4 linked regions of the Coturnix japonica genome follow. The protein of the gene in region 3 interacts with the protein of the main gene of each other region in a pairwise test. Links are inferred from orthologs where the notes say so. Each region holds a gene or a part of one and is shown on either strand. Other genes may lie near its edges.

Region 1 (3,907 bases), on a different chromosome or scaffold from region 3:
TTGTACTTATGTCTGACAGATTAAGTGATTGGGAAATATTGCGTACATGTATTAATACTGAATGTTGTATTGATGCTAATTATGATGAAACATTTCTAGATTGCATGCTTCTGTTTGGCCTTAAACATTTACAGCAATGAATTAAGAAATCAAAAATGAGCCTGTACCTGCTAATACTAGAATAAAATAGGTTTTCCAGCTGTTTTCTCTTGCACGTATGACGTAAAACGCTTCAGGAATTTGGGATATTCTCGTTTTGCCACTGCCCGTAACACAGATGCTGGTGCCCACCCTCCTGGGTTGACTAGAAGAAAACAGGAAGAAAGGCACTGAAACACAGAACATCCTCTAAAAGCTGCATACAAGAATGTAAGTCTGTATTCCTGCAACTTCCTCCAAAGAAACAACAATGAATAATCAGAACTTCTTTTAGGCCGTTACAGCCCGTACTGTACTGTTTACAGCTCTTAATATTCACATTCACTCCAGGTCTACAATGCCATTATTTAGAAAACAATAAAATAAGGCCATGTCAATCTTTTAAGTCCTACCCACATGGAAGGTGACATTCTTCCAAGAAAACAAATGGAAAGAATCAAATCCTTATTTCAAATAGAAGAGAAATCAATCTTACCTTTCCAGTTACTGCTGAATTTGTCTGCAGAACTGCTACACATTCAACCTCTTACAAATGATTTTTGAAGGACTTCAAAATATGTTTAAATTTTGCTGAACAAGCTGCCACTTACCATACAATGAGAGTTCAGCATTTGTCATGGAAGTATATATTTCAAATAATTGGAAAACTTCTGAATAGGAAAAAAACCAAACAACCTTTCCCCAGAGGATAGAATTATATCACATTATTTGTACAGGATTTAATACAAGCTGTATCACTCCTACATTGCAAATATTTACTGAACTCATTTTGCAGGCTTCTTTAGTAAGTTGTATAATAGCTGGTTAAAAATAATAGGCAGGTGAGCTAATCTGAAAGTGCTTTGTAGCAGGAGATGATCTAACAGGTATGTGGGGCCAGTACTGCAACACACTGCTAAATACTGGGTACAGTTTGGCTTCAATAAATTTACAGTCTACACCAAGGATTCCTTCAGTTAAAAAAGATAAAAATATGTAACTCAGTTATGCAGCTTGCAAATATCCTCATAAAAAAAATGTATTTGTACCTTCTTAAGTACTGAGTTTTTTAGCCTTGGATGAATCAGGGGGAAAAAAGACAGCAAAACACAACATTATTGAAACTATAAGCCAAGCCATCCAATACGCAGATAATCTACCTCACCTCCTCCACCTGAGTTTCTGTACTTAAGCTAAACTCTACTCCTGCCCTGATGCTACACCATAAGTGACCACCGTCAATGATGCTACATATCACATTAATTCAAATCTTTTTGAACACAGATTAAAAACATTGTCCTACGTTTAACAGAAAGCTGCACTGACTTTTTTTCTTGCTAGCACTTAGTTCACCAGAATTAGCATATATCACAAAGGTCACACTGAAAAAAGACACAGAAAAGATGAATACTCACCATTAGCTACATATGTAATCTTGCATAGAATATTGTCTCTGCTTATTTCTTTGTTCCCCTCTGGTGGACTTACTAATGTCTGACATATCATAGCGATATTTATTTTGGCACGGACACAGCGATTGTTCAGCTACCAGAGAAAAATGAAGAAACATTGGTAAGCCTCAAAGTAAACTTAATTCCTCCTTCTTGACTGCTAACATTTTCATTTGCTATAAAGTTTAAGACAATCCAGAGTTTGTTTTTTGAAGAATTTGCTTTCCAGCACTGTGATATACCACGAATGCAAACAAAAGATTTATCACTGTAATTCAGCATGAAATTGCACCTCTTTAAAATGTTTTCATATATTTTGTTTTTCTTCTTCTGCAACACTTTTTGAAATACGGCAAAAAAAGCTTTTGTCTTGGAACACACAGGCCAGTGTATCAACGCATTTAAAAAAGAACCTGTATTTTGCATACCTCCCTCAGCCCCCAGCCTACTTCACATTTGTACTGCAACACCATCACCATGTAACAGAAAAACTGCGAGGAAAAACCGAATAGAAAAATTCTTAAAGTAGAGATAGAGCAAAAGCAGCACTTACAGGAGCACTGTCATGTTCCACAGAGAAATTGCACACAATCCACGTTTCAGGGTCATTTTCACTGAATGCTGGTATCTTTCTGATAGCAGACAGATACAGCACGTCCCTTTGAGAAGCTGGCCACACTCTCTGCAGAGAAATATCCCATTGTAAGCTTTTCAAAATGTTACAAATTAAGTACTTTTTGTTCTTAAATAAGAAGGTCAAAGCAGTTAAGGTTAACAAGGTCAGACATGTTATCTAAGTAAAAAAAATAGTTGAAATTAGTTCTCTTTAAGGTCTTCATTAACCAAAGTGCAGTGGGAACAACTGCACTCTTAGCAGTCTCACTCTTGTACCTATATTGTAGCCTATCAGGTTATGCAGCTGCACTTGATTAAAAAAGAAATAAGGCAAAAATTTAAGGCCCAAAAACAATCTGCAATGACTTTTGCTTGTAGGCAGCACTAGTGGCTAAGTATAAATACATGCATCTAAAGTCTGACTATGCATGTAGGTCTCCATACACATGAGGGAATAAAGAAATAAATATTTTAACTAGTATTTTTAAGAGCTACTACTTCAGCAAGACAGAAGTGATAAACTGATGGTTTCCAACAGTTAATTTCACAATTTCAAGCACCCCACCCCCCCAAAAAAAAAAGAAACTATACAGAAACTATTTTCCTGATATTCAGTAGAAGCAAAAATATTGTTTTTACCATAACGCTACAGTTGACTCAACAGAATATTGAAGCCTTCTTGTTATGGCATCTTTAAGGTAATACCCTCACTGGTAAAATTGTCTAAGTTAATCGTCTAGTTGTTCAAGTATCTGAGTATGCCAGTACTTGCCATCATGCAAGATTTAAGTTTACATGGCTGGACAGTGATAGGACAAGGTGGAATGGTTTTGAACTAAGACAGGGGAGATTTATGTTAGATTTTCACTCACAGGGCGGTGAGTGACCAGAAAACAAAATATTATACCAAATATTAAACCAGCATGTACCATGTCATAATGCTAATGCTTTTGTTAAATATTTGTAGTTAACAATAGCTTGCATTACTGAAAAAAGACAAATGATGAAGTGGTATGAGTTTCTTGCTTGTAGTCAATGTTGACTTATTGCTTCAGTTTGCTTTAGATAACCACTGCCTAGCTGGAAATGATAGTATTACAGATAATAATGAACAGCTCTCATTTCTTGTTACATACTGTGGCAGACACATTCGCAACCAATTATGCTACCTAGCCAAGCTCAGAAAGTTGACAGCGTTGCAGTTCCTTAAAGAACTTGTTCTCAGCTAGTTTGCTTTTTAAGCAAAATTTTTTGTTTTGGCAAAATATATGCCACTGAAGTATTTCAAAACAAGTCAGAGTGCTGTTTTGGTAGGGTGTGTACATAGGTGACACGTAATTCTTACCTTATGCGTCTGGTAAATGATGATTGCATTATCAGCTAAATTTTCCACAACATGGAAGTTTTCAATTGTTGCTGAAAAGCAGGAAAAAAAAGATCAGTAAACAAGCACAAAAGCAAGTCTGAATCAGGATCTGAGCAGGGCCTGATGGGATTAATTCCATGGCACTGAAAGAGCTGGCTGTTATCATCGTGAGACTTCTCTCAAGTATTTCTTAGTGCACTTTGGAATCTAGAGAGGTACAAGCTGAGTGGAAGCAGGCAAAAGTTGTACCAATCAATTTTAAATAAAGATAATAAGGAAGACTGGTAATCAGAGGCCTCTGAGTCCCACTCCAGTGCTTAGTAAAATAATTGAAAAG
Region 2 (3,573 bases), on a different chromosome or scaffold from region 3:
TACGGGGATGTCTCGGATTTTATGAGGTTCCACATAAGAGTTCTGGCAATTGAGGGTAAGTCTCGAGGCAAGCTCACTCTGGCCCAGACTCTCCAGCTTTCAGTAGAGACAAATTGTGATTAATAACATATTTCACTGCAGGAAGTTAATGCAATAATAACAGCAGAGCCAAAGAGAAGACAGCTCTTTAGTTTTAAAGGGAAACATGACTGCACTTCAGATGAAGATCATAGTTCCATCTTAATATTTCGCTGCATGAGACAAATACTTAGAACGTTTAATTAATTGTTCCTGCCTCTAGAGCATAGCCTACTATCTCAGCACTTATTCCCATTTCCATCTCTTTCTTAGCCACCTCTCTTCCAATATACATAGATAAATGGAACAATAAGGTAGACAAATCACAGCACCAGTTAAATTGCAAGAGCTGTTGCAGCCAACACCTGCTGAGAATCCATCCACTGTTCACTTCTGGGTAAGTAAATGAAGAAAGCAGCAGAAATATCTACAACCTCCCATCTACTAAGTGAATATCTCACAAAGATTGACATTACAGCCATTGGAGCACACAGCCACTTACCCTGTCCACCATGAAATCAATCCCATCGGCCATTTCAGGGTCTACAGGACCAGATGCAAAATTGCCAAGGACAATTTTTTTCAGCATAAAAGCAGGCATTAACCAAAAGCTAAAACAGAAACAAGACGTAACAATCAGAATTAAGATGCTTTCTTTTAAGTCTTCCCTTTTCTTGCACTGACTTTTGTGCAAGAATTTCAAATGAAATCGTGAAGATGCTTCAAGAGCAGAGATGGAAAAACTTGCAGATATGTGACTGAAATGCTCTGGAAAGCTGCTGCATTGCAAGGGTGTATTAAAAACATTGTGAATAACACTTTCCTCACTCTAAAAAGTTTTGCTGGAAATCAAGTAGAATTCTGAAGTCTGACCACGTCCTTAAATGATCACAGGAAATAAATACAGGAGGAGTCTGTCAAATTCCACACTCCCAATTGTGAGAACTTCTGTTTCCTTTATAGTATGGTTTTAAAAGTCACATGTATTCCAGCCCTCACCATTAGGCACGCAGGCTGAAAACAAGTTAAACACATGTTGAACCAGATCAGTGTGGAATTTCATCAGAAAACACATTAATGCCACCAGTCTCATTGCTTGTCTCGGTCTTCCTTACCTGTTTGCTGTCCATGTCTGATTGAAGATGGAAGTGTCGCTAAAGGCATTACATAGAATCAGAGATTGAACTCGGGGAGATTTGTGTGTGTATTCAGCAAATTTCTGAGCCAGGAAGCCTCCTAGAGAAGCTCCAAAAAGGTGAACCTAATTCAAAAAGGAAAACCAAAACAAACAGGTCATGTTACATTTGAGAACTAAGTGACCCTTAAGGGCCACGTTACAAAAAGTCCTTCAAGTTTTACCTTGTCCTTATAGCTCATTTTTAATTGGAAAAACAAAACAAAACAAAACCAGAACAAAAAGGCCTTCAATGTAGGTTCTTTGATTTACAAGAAGAGATAAATACCAAAAAAAGGAAGCGTTTCCTGATCACGCTTCTAATTTCTGTGTGCTCATCGTGCTTAAGTAAAATGTAATCATTTCACTTTATATTCAATGTTTTTTCCAATCCAAGGTACTTTATGGTGATATTCTGTACAATGTGAGTTATGAAGGATAACTTCAGCAGGATCTCAGCAAGAAAGAAAAATGCAGTTAGCAACCCAATGTAATAAGCCTCCAACAGCAGAGAATTCAGTCAGATTTTCAAGGGAATTTCCTTTCAAAAATAAACTAGTTTCAAAAGAACACAGCCTCTTTATAGGCTGGTTTTGCATTGTGAACTTCACATTTGCTCTTAAATGAGGCCTTCAAGCATCAGGTTTTTATGGCAGCTATATATCCATCTCTGGGCACTCACTTTATCCAGCTGAAGGTGGTCTAACAGTTTTCTGAATCCATCACAGAACTCAAGGTGATCCCAGTACACCGGGTACTGCAACTGAAACAATATACAAGACACAAAAAGCCAGTCTCTAATCATCAGACGTCAACCTCCTGCTACAAAGTTACACTGATTCTCACATTCAAGGTTTCTAGATGATACTCACAGCAATAACTCTGTAACCCCATCCAGTCAGTGCCAAAATTTGCTGGAAAAACACATCTGCAGTTCCACTTACAGGAGGAAGAAATATGAGCGGGCACCGAATGCTCCTGGGTCCTGCATCGTACAGCGACCAGACTTTACTGTCATCATCATCTACTATTATCTGGAAGAAGAGGAGAAGAGAAGGGGTGAGAAACACAGGACTGAAATGAGCTTCTTCAAGCATGTTCCAGGATTGCTACTACAAAATATTTGTCATTCAGTAAATATTACGGTATCCAAAACTATTGAATAAGACCAGCTTTTATTTCTCACAACAACTTTCTTCTCTAAGGCTGTTTACTAAGCAATGATGTTTCCAAGGATGGAGCTGGAGACAGAACTACAACCGGGCACTGTCAGACCCATTTATACAGTTCCACATGAGGAGAAATATGCTTGGAGCCACTGTGCCACGGCCCAAAAGAGAACCATGGGGCCAGCTCACAGTACCCAGAACAGCAGCCTTAGGCTGGAAGAGCCTGCATTGCCCCAGGGTCTGATTTTTAACTAACTCCTATTTACTGGACAAAAGATGTTACAGGTCTGGATGTGTGTGAGTCTATTGAATTATGCTGCTAACTGCAAATTATTGATTTAAAGCAGTTACACCTGATTGCTAGGGATGTACTCAACTCCCAGAGCAGCACTGCACAGCTGACCTGGAAAGAAATAAGCACATGTCAGGAGAGCCTGGAGTCCCTACGACACAGCTGGATGAAGCAGATTATCCACCACAAGCTGCTCACAGAGGGCACGTAACATGCCAGAAGCAAGAAGTCACAGCAGAAATAGTATATTCAGAAGTATAGGAATTAGGTAACGATTGTCTGCTCCAGCCTTGCTGAAGCCTGGCTCGCTTTTACAGGGCCTGACCTACCAACAAGCTGTTGTGTGTATTTAGCATGCTGGTTTCAACCCTCATCACCCCAGCAAAAAGCATGCAGCTCATTCCAGATCAACAGTCACAAATCTAAGGAAAGCTGCATCGCACAGCAGGAGTTCATCCACGTGTCAAGATTCTGTAATTTTTTGAATAGCAGCATAGAAGCATAATTCACTTTCCCATCACAGCAATTAAGCTGCTCAGGGAGTTAGAGAACAGTGTATCATTTTTGCTTGATTAACAAATCTGCTTGTAATAAAGCCGGTATTTCAAGCTCTGGGAACATGTGAGGAATCACATGATACTGCTGTTTTGTGAGATCTCCAAGAGAAACAAAGAAAGACAGATTACATAGCAGGGCTTCCCAGACCACTGAAGCCACTAAGAAAACACATACACACAAAAACCCCCCCAGCACCCTGCACAAAAGCCCTCCTAAAGCCTCCCAAAAATCAACCCTTCACATCATCTCCAGAAATTACAGCTCTCAGCTGTTATTCTACAGTAACTTTGGAGACATTCAAG
Region 3 (4,485 bases):
ATCACTCCCATATACAAGAAAGGGAGCAAGGAGGACCTAGGGAACTACAGGCCAGTGAGACTCACCTCTGTGCCTGGGAAGATCATGGAACAGATCCTCCTGAATGACACGCTTGATCACATGAGGAATGAGCGTGTGATCCAAGACTGCCAGCACAGCTTCACCAGAAGGTCATGCTTAACCAATCTTGTGGCCTTCTATGATGGAGTGACAGCATTGGTGGACAAGGGGAAGGCAACCAATGTCATTTACCTGGACTTGAGCAAGGCCTTTGATATGGTGCCCCACAACATCCTTATCACTCCATTGTAGGGATGTGGATTTGATGGGTGTCCCACTCAATGGATAAGAAATTGGCTGAAAGGCCGCAGAGAGAGGGTGGTGATTAATGGTTCTGTGTCCAGGAGGAGGCCGGTAACAAGCAGTGCCCCCCAGGGGTCTGTCTTGGGACTGGTGCTCTTTAACATCTTTATCAATTACATCAACAAACAGAATTGAGCGCACCCTCAACAAGTTTGCTGATGACACTGAGCTGAGTGGTGCAGTTGACACAGTGGAAAGAAGAGATGCCATTTAGAGGGACCTCAACAGACTTAAAATATAGGACCAGGTGAACCTGAGGTTCAACAGAGCAAAGTGCAAGGTTTTGCACTTTGGGCTGGAGGAATCCCAGACGTCTATACAGACTAGAAGGAGTAGTCACTGAAAGCAGCCCTGAAGAGAAGGACCTGGGGGCCCTGATGGATAAGAAACTTAACATGAGACAGCAGTGTGCTCCTGCAGCTCAGAAAGCAAACGGTACCCCGGACTCCATCAGGAGAGAGGTGGCCAGCAGGGACAGGGAGGTGATTGTCCCTCTCTGCTCTTGTGAGGCCCCATCTGGAGTACTGTGTCCAGGTATGGAGCCCCCAGTACAAGACAGAGAGCTGCTGGAAAGGGTCCAGAGGTGAGCCATGAAGATGATCAGGGGGCTGGAGTACCTCCCCTACCAATGATAGGCTGAGGGAGCTGGGCTTGTTCAGCATGGAGAAAAGGCTGTGGGGTGACCTAACTGCAGCCTTCCAGTACCTGAAGGGAGCCTATAACCAGGAGGGGAGTAAACTCTTTTTCTGTAAGAGTGGATAACAGCAAGACAAGGGGAAATGGTTTTAAGTTGAAGGAGGGAAGTTCTTTACCATGAGAGTGGTGAGGTCCTGAAACAAGCTGCCCAGAGAGGCTGTGGATGCCCTGTTCCTGGAGGTGTTCAAGGCCAGGTTGGATGGGGCCCTGGACAACCTGGTCTAGTAAATGGGAAGGCTGGTGGCCCTGCCTGGCAGGGGGGTTGGAGATTCACGATCCTTCAGGTCCGTTCCAACCTGGGCCATGCTGTGAAAAACCTCCACCTGCCAAAATAAGCTCATATCAAGATGGCTTTCTGCTATATTCGTGAGAACTAATGATCTCTATCAACAAGTAAAGAAAATACTGTTAAGTGAAGCAAGTCTGTACAACAAAAGGAGTAAGATACGTAACACATTTATCTTCTGACTCTAGAAACATTAAGTCAAAACTTCCCAAATATCATCCTTTGAAAGCCTAGTTTCACTTGAGTCAGTGCTCATTCACGAACACTAGATGGCATCCAAATCCTATTTTATAAGTAGGCTGTAAAGCAACCCCCTAACAGTCACTGCTGGCTGCCCACACCCAGTGGCTGGAGCCATGCCTTCTGTGCCACAGTGCAGCATCACAACAAAATCCATGCTGAAGTCAACCTTCATACACAGTAGTTTTATGGATGTCAGAAATGGGTTTTAAAGTCCGGCTGGCATGAGAGCAAAGCAACAGGGTTATCTGCTAGGAAGCCAAGTACAGCACATACTGAGAAAGGGATGGGAAAAAAGGAGCACATACTGAGAAGGGGACAGGAAGCCAAGTACAGAATATACTGAGAAAGGGATGGGGAAAAAAGGAACGCCTGGCACAATCTCCAAAGATGACATGCAAATGTTTAACAGCAGCAGCTGCTGGTGTTGCAAGGTAAAAAGAAGTGATCTGTTAAAACTGCTTTAAGTAGGAACTACTTACATGAGGATGGGTTTCTCCATAGTTAAACCCAAACCAATTCAGAACTTACTTTTGTTTGTTTCCACATCTGTGCCACAGTGAAGGACAAGGCCCCTGTGGTCTGACACCCTCATAGAACATGCTAGGCTACATGAAGGTCAGCCATACAGCTTTAAAGCCGGATCTGCCAGTGAGGTTGCTCAAAGCTCTGTTGGCTTTATTGGAGTCATGGAGTGTATTTAATAACTAAATAAATCTGCAACCACTTCTTACCATCTGCCTGCAGCGTCCTGGGGCTGTCAGGAGGTACATTTTCAGGCACACAGAGGTATGCTTGCATTTGAGTTGGCTTACAACAAGCAGCGCCAATGAGTAAGTATTCGAGGACAGCACAAAAAAGCAAGGCTCAGAAGAACACACAGCACAGATCACAGATCCAGGCCCTGTGATTAATTATCTGCCCTTTCTCAGAGTGAAAGGCAACTGTTAGTTCTTTGTTTCATTATTCTGACTGCTAATTGGAAGAAGTTTGGTAATAAAAGCAGACAATTGATTTTATTAATGGATTTGTGTCTTGTTAGAATCTTCAGGCATGTCACAGAAGTACAACTCTGTTCAGCAGCAGAGTACCACAGCATCAAAACAGCAAAGTACTTCTCCAGTCTACGGGAAGCTGGAACTCCATAACGCATATGGTTTAGAATTAATGCCAGGGGAAACCTTCTTTTAACTCTCTTCTACTTTAAATAGCACATTACTGGATGAAAAACAACAATACCACAACCAAACACTGAAATGGAAGTTCCATTTGAAAATTATCTGTGCTGTGTGCAAACCGATCTTAACGGTTGCAGGAACACTCACTTTCTTAATGGTCACTTTTCCTACTAAACTGAGCACTTAGCTCCCTTGTGCACTATTTATTTCTGGCAGGGACCTACTACAGGCTGTAAATCACATGAGTGGAGCTGTGCATGTTCTTTTCCAGGCATAAGCTGTATGTACCACAGCAGAAAGGACGTTTTCCCAAGCTTTGAAGTCTGTTGTTTAACTGAATTCTGCATGAAAAGAAAAAATGCCTCTTGTGCACATGGAGTAGACTGAGATACCATCCCTGGTTTACTATTGTGTACAGCAAGTCCGGAAGGCCTCTAATGCTCAGCCTGTAGACAAGCACAGAAAAGCTTACAGTGAGTAGTGACTTATCTGCACACCAACAGATCACCAGCAGGAGAACCGAAGAAAACTGAAGACAGTGAGACCACTCCTGATAAACATGATAAAAAAAAGGGACTGAAGCAGTCAAAATATGAAAAGGTGAGAGCACAGGCTCTAACATTAGTTTGTTACCCTCTGCTTAAACAGGGTAGTTTACAGAAAGTAACTTAAAAAAAAAGAGTAAGTCGTAGCATGTTTAAGTGTAGCTAAAGGTTATGGAGATTAGTGAACTGCAAGACAGTGAACACAGATTACCTGAAGATATATTCAGCTTTGCTGAAAAGACTGCAGTAGGTTTTTCCTTTTCTTTAGCAGAAGCAGCTCCTCTCTCAGCTTCCTTCTGAAAAGCTTCTGGCTTTCCTACACTGACTGTTTCTTCTTCAGTAGGTAAAGGTGAGGTATCTGTGGCTGGTAAGGACACCATGGACACTTCAGGCACTTCTCTGTCCACAGCCTGCAAGGACTTTTTCAAGGCATGAGCATCTTCATCAGTTTTCATTTCTACATTCTTTACAGACAGATCACAGGGCAGCTCTGGGCAAGGCAACCGCCTCTTCTCATCTCTGATCTCATTACTGGTCTCTTCGCTTTCATTTTTGTGCACTGTTTCTTTATCAGTGACTTCAGCCACAAACTCGGGACCAGTTTTAGGATCAACTAGCATCACAAAGTCGTCTTCTGAGACAGGAGAAGATTCAATAGGTGAGAGACCTTTGCCATCACCTGGTTTTGGTTCCGTAGCAATAGATACATCAGTTGAATAAGCCAGAGTGTTCAGTTCTTCCATCTGAAGTGGAATCTTCTCTGCCTTGGCTATCTTTGCAGGTGTGGGCTCAGATGGCTGAGTGCTAACAATTTTGGAAGAGTCTAGTTCAGCTTGGAAAGACTCCAAATAGGGCTTACCAGTAGCAGCCCATGAATCTACCAGCCGTTCCTGCTCCTCGTCAGTTTCAATATTCTCAACTGATTCACTATTTAAGACGAGGGTCTGATCTTCACTTTCATTCCCAGGGACATCAGGTATCACATGGCGATTAAACAAGTCAGATTTTCCAAACTGCGGAGACAGTTTCTCAACCAGCTCCTTGTGTTCAGACACATCCTTTGAAATGTCTTCTGCTGTTGGAGTTGCGGAATAATCTGTTAAGGATGGAGAAGCAGATTCACCAGAGACCTTTGTTTCCTTAATTAAGTCACATGCAATAGATATATATGGAGTCT
Region 4 (4,485 bases), on a different chromosome or scaffold from region 3:
GCTACCTCTGCAGCACAGTGGGCTAAAAGAGGTACTCGGTTCTGTGGGCATCAGTTGAAAGTTGGCATTACTGCAGAGAATACAAACGTGGTGAGATCATTCTGTTCTGTTGTCAATACACATTAAAAACAAGAAATAAAATAACAGCAGAGTGCCTAGCAGGACAGGGATGTGCTGCTGGACAGAGACCAAGGAAGGAACAGACTGCAGCTAGCTGAGTGATGCTGCTCGAGATAGAGATGGATCCAGAGCACTTTGCCCACAGCATCCTGGGATTAAGCCAGTGCAGTTAGTTCCTTCCCACACAAAGGTTTTGTGGCTTTGGAGCTTTTTTCTTTCTCCCTCCTAGAGAAGAAAATTCAAATATTATCTCTGGGGATTCCAGACAGCGGTGCCAAAGGAGATAAATTATCTTAGAAAACGTGCATTATTCTGCACTACACAGCAATAACTGCATAGTCAGGCCATACAAGCACCCAAGCATTCCCAGAAGCAGGTCAGCTGCTCACCCCATGGCCCTCCTCCTCTTCTGGAGCCCCCACAGGAGCAGGGACCCAGCACAGTGCACATGGGGATGGAAGCCAGAGGGGAACAGGGCCCAGCTCCAGTGACTATCACCTATGGAGAGCCAAGTGTGAGGCAGGATTCCAAAGGAATGGAAGCATGCCTGGAAATTCTGATTTCTCAGCCACTTCTAAAGGAAACGAGGGGTTATAGCAGTGACTGAAAGGGCAGTGGTGTTTACATGTGAAAGACCAGGAGCACAAGGCCAGCCTGTACCAATGTTAACAATAACTAATTCAATCTGTCTATGAAAAGAATTACAGGAGCTCTGAAATAAAGGGGAGCTGCAGCTAAGCCTTCTTCATTTCACAGACAGTCAATACTCTAAAGAAAAACAAACCAGAAAACTAACCAAAGTCCTGAAATACAGCTAGCAAACATGAGCACCCCCAACACCACTCAGCCCAAGAGTCATCAATTCCTCCGTGCTTCGGTAGGAATTTAATGAACTTTGCTCATGTTCTGCTCAAGGCACGGATGTGCCAACAGATCTGGAAGCAGCTCCAAACAGTGCTCCCCCCACCTCATCCCTTTCTCCTTCCCACCATTATTTTCTTGTAAAACATCAGGCCAAAACGTTATTGCAATGATGCGGGAAGCTGCTTCCATCTGAGAGCGAAGTTTTAACACATGCTCAGATATCAACAGACTCTATGGATGCTGATGTCAGTTTGTGCTGCATCTTCAGAAAAGATCTAGGTATGAAAACAGCACGTATGTCCCAAATGAGCTCACCTTGTTGCTTTTTAAAGCTAACCTTTCCAATAATTCTTTTTAATCACACAATTATAAATCAGGGTTATCCCCGGTTCACTTGTGAAGCATACTACCAATTGATACCATTCCCTTAGCTAATCATTAAATTAAGCATAAAGCAACACTTTACAGGTTCAAGAAGATACTAAGAGAATCTGCATAAGTTTATTATACACATCTCAGATAATAAAATTACTTATAAACACTTGTATATACATTTTCATGCAGTTCAGAAAAATTATGCAGAGATTGGAAAACGACTGAAATCAGCAAATGCACCTTTTGATTTGGTCTGTTTTCTGTACTTCTTCCAGAAGAAAAATATATGATTAAGAAAGCAAAAAGCCACATTTAGACTGGTTTGCTTATTACCACTCAGATGCTTGTTCTCTCTCCTATTGGCAACGCAGCAGAATTAACAGTGCAGTCAAAAATGCAGTTGTTTTTGAGTTAGATCCTGATTTGAAATACAAAGCCCCAGTAGTGCAAAGCAGATATTGTGCCAGCTTATCTAGGCAGTGGAGGACAATCCTCCTGCATAGGACAGCCACCAGTCCCACTGGAAAATGATGCCCAGGCAGGTAAGTGTAAAGAACATACAAGAACATACGATCTGTAGGGTCTGTCTCACCCACACCAGAAATCTTCTTCTGTGAGATTATCCTCACTTGGTGGGCTGCCATGTGAGGACAGACAAAGCCTGTGTGTATTACACCAACTGATAACCTGTATCTACCACACCACTGCCCAGTGGGTGATCACTAGCCTGAGTGTGATGCAAACCAGCACCCAGACTCAATTTTGGTTTAACAGCCAATGCTGAAACTTGCACAGCACCATTGAATGGAAGGAAACAGCTGTGGTGCAAGAGATGGAATTTGGTGCCAGACTAGTAAACGACAAAAACAAAACACGAGGTGATTCAGAACAAAAAAACCCGAACCTTTCCAGCATAATATTTCCTTCCTATCATCAGAAGGGATGAAGAAATGCCAATCCTCTCCTAAGGAGCTCCAGGAATTAAATTTAGGTAGCTGATGGTATGTGAGTATCTTGGCACCTTTCTGTCTACATACCATCACTGCCCTAGAGAATCCACGTCCTCAGCTGCGTCACATGCAGTTTTCCAGCAGCTAATGAGAGCTCAATGTTCAGAAATCAAGCAAATGAAGACTTCTTCCCTTGCCACTGACTCTACAAGTTTAACTGATGGAAATGGGAAAAAAATGATGAAAATGGAAAATAACAAAATGGTCTGAAAAGTAACTACCTTGAAGTGCCATCGCTTCATCCAGGGATCCTGCTCCCTGAAAGCTGCCCCTCTAGGCATGGGTCCCCTGGATCCTATTTTACCTGCTCTTGTAGGAGAGACTGTCCCAAAGATGAGGTGACTTGGTCTGGCATTCTTTACTGCTCAACATGCCAAAAATGGTTCTCTTTCCAGATCCCAAACATACTACAGATAGCCCATTTGGACAAGAGCCCTCAGCAAACTTGAGCTGTGCTTAACTGAACAACAGTGAAATCGTGGATCAAAAGCTTTTCTGTATAATGCTCACAGAAATGCTTTTCTGAATGAAACTCACTTTTACAAGTGAACAAAATAACACATAATCAAAACAGTGATGCAGAAAAGAGTGATTCAGGCACAAAGGTGGACGTGCAGCTTGTTCTGGTCTTTGTTTTTTTTGGTATTCATGATGACAGAAGCCTTGAACTTCAAGTAAGCATCCAAACATGCATTGTATAATCACAATATAAAACCGCTATTAGTTATCCCTCATGCAATCTCTGTGGCAATACAGGCTAACAAGTGCACGGGATGCTAATTAAGAATACTGGCAGTATTAAGTCCAAATAAACACTATCAGTTAGTATCAGAAACAGTAATAACGCCTAGGCACTTTAAAGTTGACAGAGTATTCAACAGTGCTTTCCCATGCTGCCTGAAAAATCCAGTCTATAGTGCTACCAAATGTTCATTTCTAGGACTTAAAAAATAAGATAATAAAAGAGAGGAAAATGTGATCTGCATGCAGTTTAGCCTATCTGTGAGCTATCTGCGTGTCAAGAATGTTTGCAGACTTCATTAATATAAATAAGGAAAGGATCAGAGAATTTACTCCAGAAGAAAACAGCATCAAAATCAAACTGTGATGATTAGACATATGATAAAATGAGCAAGAAAGGGAGGATCTTGTAGGTTTGCCCTTGCTTTTCCTAAGGTTACTAATTTGGATGTAGAAAATGCAGGGCAACCTGGAAAGATAAAAACTAAACTTGCTTCCCAGGCCTTGTCACTTCTAATGCTTGACAGATGATACTGAAAAGTCAGGTTAAAGAGTACATGACCTGTCAGAGCACAGTGCTTGCCATGGGACAGCTGCTTCCTGCTGACTGAGAATGAGGGAAGACAACCCACAGTCCCAGGATCTACAGGCTGCCCTGGTTACCATTAGGACTCCAGCAATGTGTGCCACCTGCAGACCTGCAGCCCCTTTGACTCTTTCATCTCCTGCCAATGACTTTGCTCTTCTTCTCCACTGCTGTTCTGCCCCATGGAGATCCAGCCGATCATCTCTTTGCGTTTCATGCTGCGTTTGTTGTATATGGAGATCATTAGTGTGACATCGGAGAGCTGGAAGAGGGCAACCTGGAAGATGAAAGTTTCTTTGTAGACGGGGTTGGGCTGCCCTCGACGGATGGAGGTCTTGCAGCGAGACATCTCCTGGCCCACAGAGTTGAGCAGGCAAAGCTTTCCATAGGTATCTAGGACAAAACACAGAAAATAAAATGTTTGGCAGAGTTAACAGATTAAATGGAAGCCCCAAGTAGTCAGAAATCACTCCAAAAACTCCAAGCAGCTTTGTCTGCACTGCATATAAGGTGAGGGTTGGACCTATCTCCTTCATTCAAGGGATGAAGAGCAGTAGATGAGAGCAACCCTTGGACTTCCTCATGTCCAGCTGGGGAGAAGAATGGAAGGAAGCAAATATGTGATTCAGACCTATACTCTTGGAAATAAAAACAGCAAAAGAACTGCTTCTCAAATTCAGGAAACCTAAGGCTAACTGAATCCATGAGCATCTCCCTGGATTCTCCATGTCAAACAGCGTGTCAGCACCTTTCATTCCTCTCCCTCACCCCTCACAACAAAGGTTTGGT

What was found. The genes of interacting proteins can lie anywhere in the genome.
Region 1: the proteins of RTN4 (region 3) and CERT1 interact in binary tests that used the Homo sapiens proteins (3 or more experiments, as listed by UniProt). The link is inferred for Coturnix japonica from reciprocal best matches to the Homo sapiens genes RTN4 and CERT1.
Region 2: the proteins of RTN4 (region 3) and SPG21 interact in a two-hybrid assay, tested with the Homo sapiens proteins (2 studies listed by BioGRID and IntAct). The two-hybrid records come from large-scale screens. The link is inferred for Coturnix japonica from reciprocal best matches to the Homo sapiens genes RTN4 and SPG21.
Region 4: the proteins of RTN4 (region 3) and SYT16 interact in binary tests that used the Homo sapiens proteins (3 or more experiments, as listed by UniProt). The link is inferred for Coturnix japonica from reciprocal best matches to the Homo sapiens genes RTN4 and SYT16.

The regions. Positions count from the first base shown.
Region 1 is NC_029547.1:21,923,105-21,927,011, reverse strand, and holds part of CERT1 (ceramide transfer protein), read right to left. Parts: intron 3,621-3,907; coding exon 3,550-3,620; intron 2,272-3,549; coding exon 2,143-2,271; intron 1,684-2,142; coding exon 1,554-1,683; intron 305-1,553; coding exon 177-304; 3' UTR 168-176; intron 1-167. UniProt on the Homo sapiens protein: Shelters ceramides and diacylglycerol lipids inside its START domain and mediates the intracellular trafficking of ceramides and diacylglycerol lipids in a non-vesicular manner.
Region 2 is NC_029525.1:16,062,198-16,065,770, forward strand, and holds part of SPG21 (maspardin), read right to left. Parts: intron 2,287-3,573; coding exon 2,125-2,286; intron 2,016-2,124; coding exon 1,935-2,015; intron 1,340-1,934; coding exon 1,194-1,339; intron 690-1,193; coding exon 581-689; intron 97-580; coding exon 1-96. UniProt on the Homo sapiens protein: May play a role as a negative regulatory factor in CD4-dependent T-cell activation.
Region 3 is NC_029518.1:5,127,960-5,132,444, forward strand, and holds part of RTN4 (reticulon-4), read right to left. Parts: coding exon 3,520-4,485; intron 1-3,519. UniProt on the Homo sapiens protein: Required to induce the formation and stabilization of endoplasmic reticulum (ER) tubules. They regulate membrane morphogenesis in the ER by promoting tubular ER production.
Region 4 is NC_029520.1:48,966,024-48,970,508, forward strand, and holds part of SYT16 (synaptotagmin-16), read right to left. Parts: intron 4,090-4,485; coding exon 3,776-4,089; 3' UTR 1-3,775. UniProt on the Homo sapiens protein: May be involved in the trafficking and exocytosis of secretory vesicles in non-neuronal tissues. Is Ca(2+)-independent.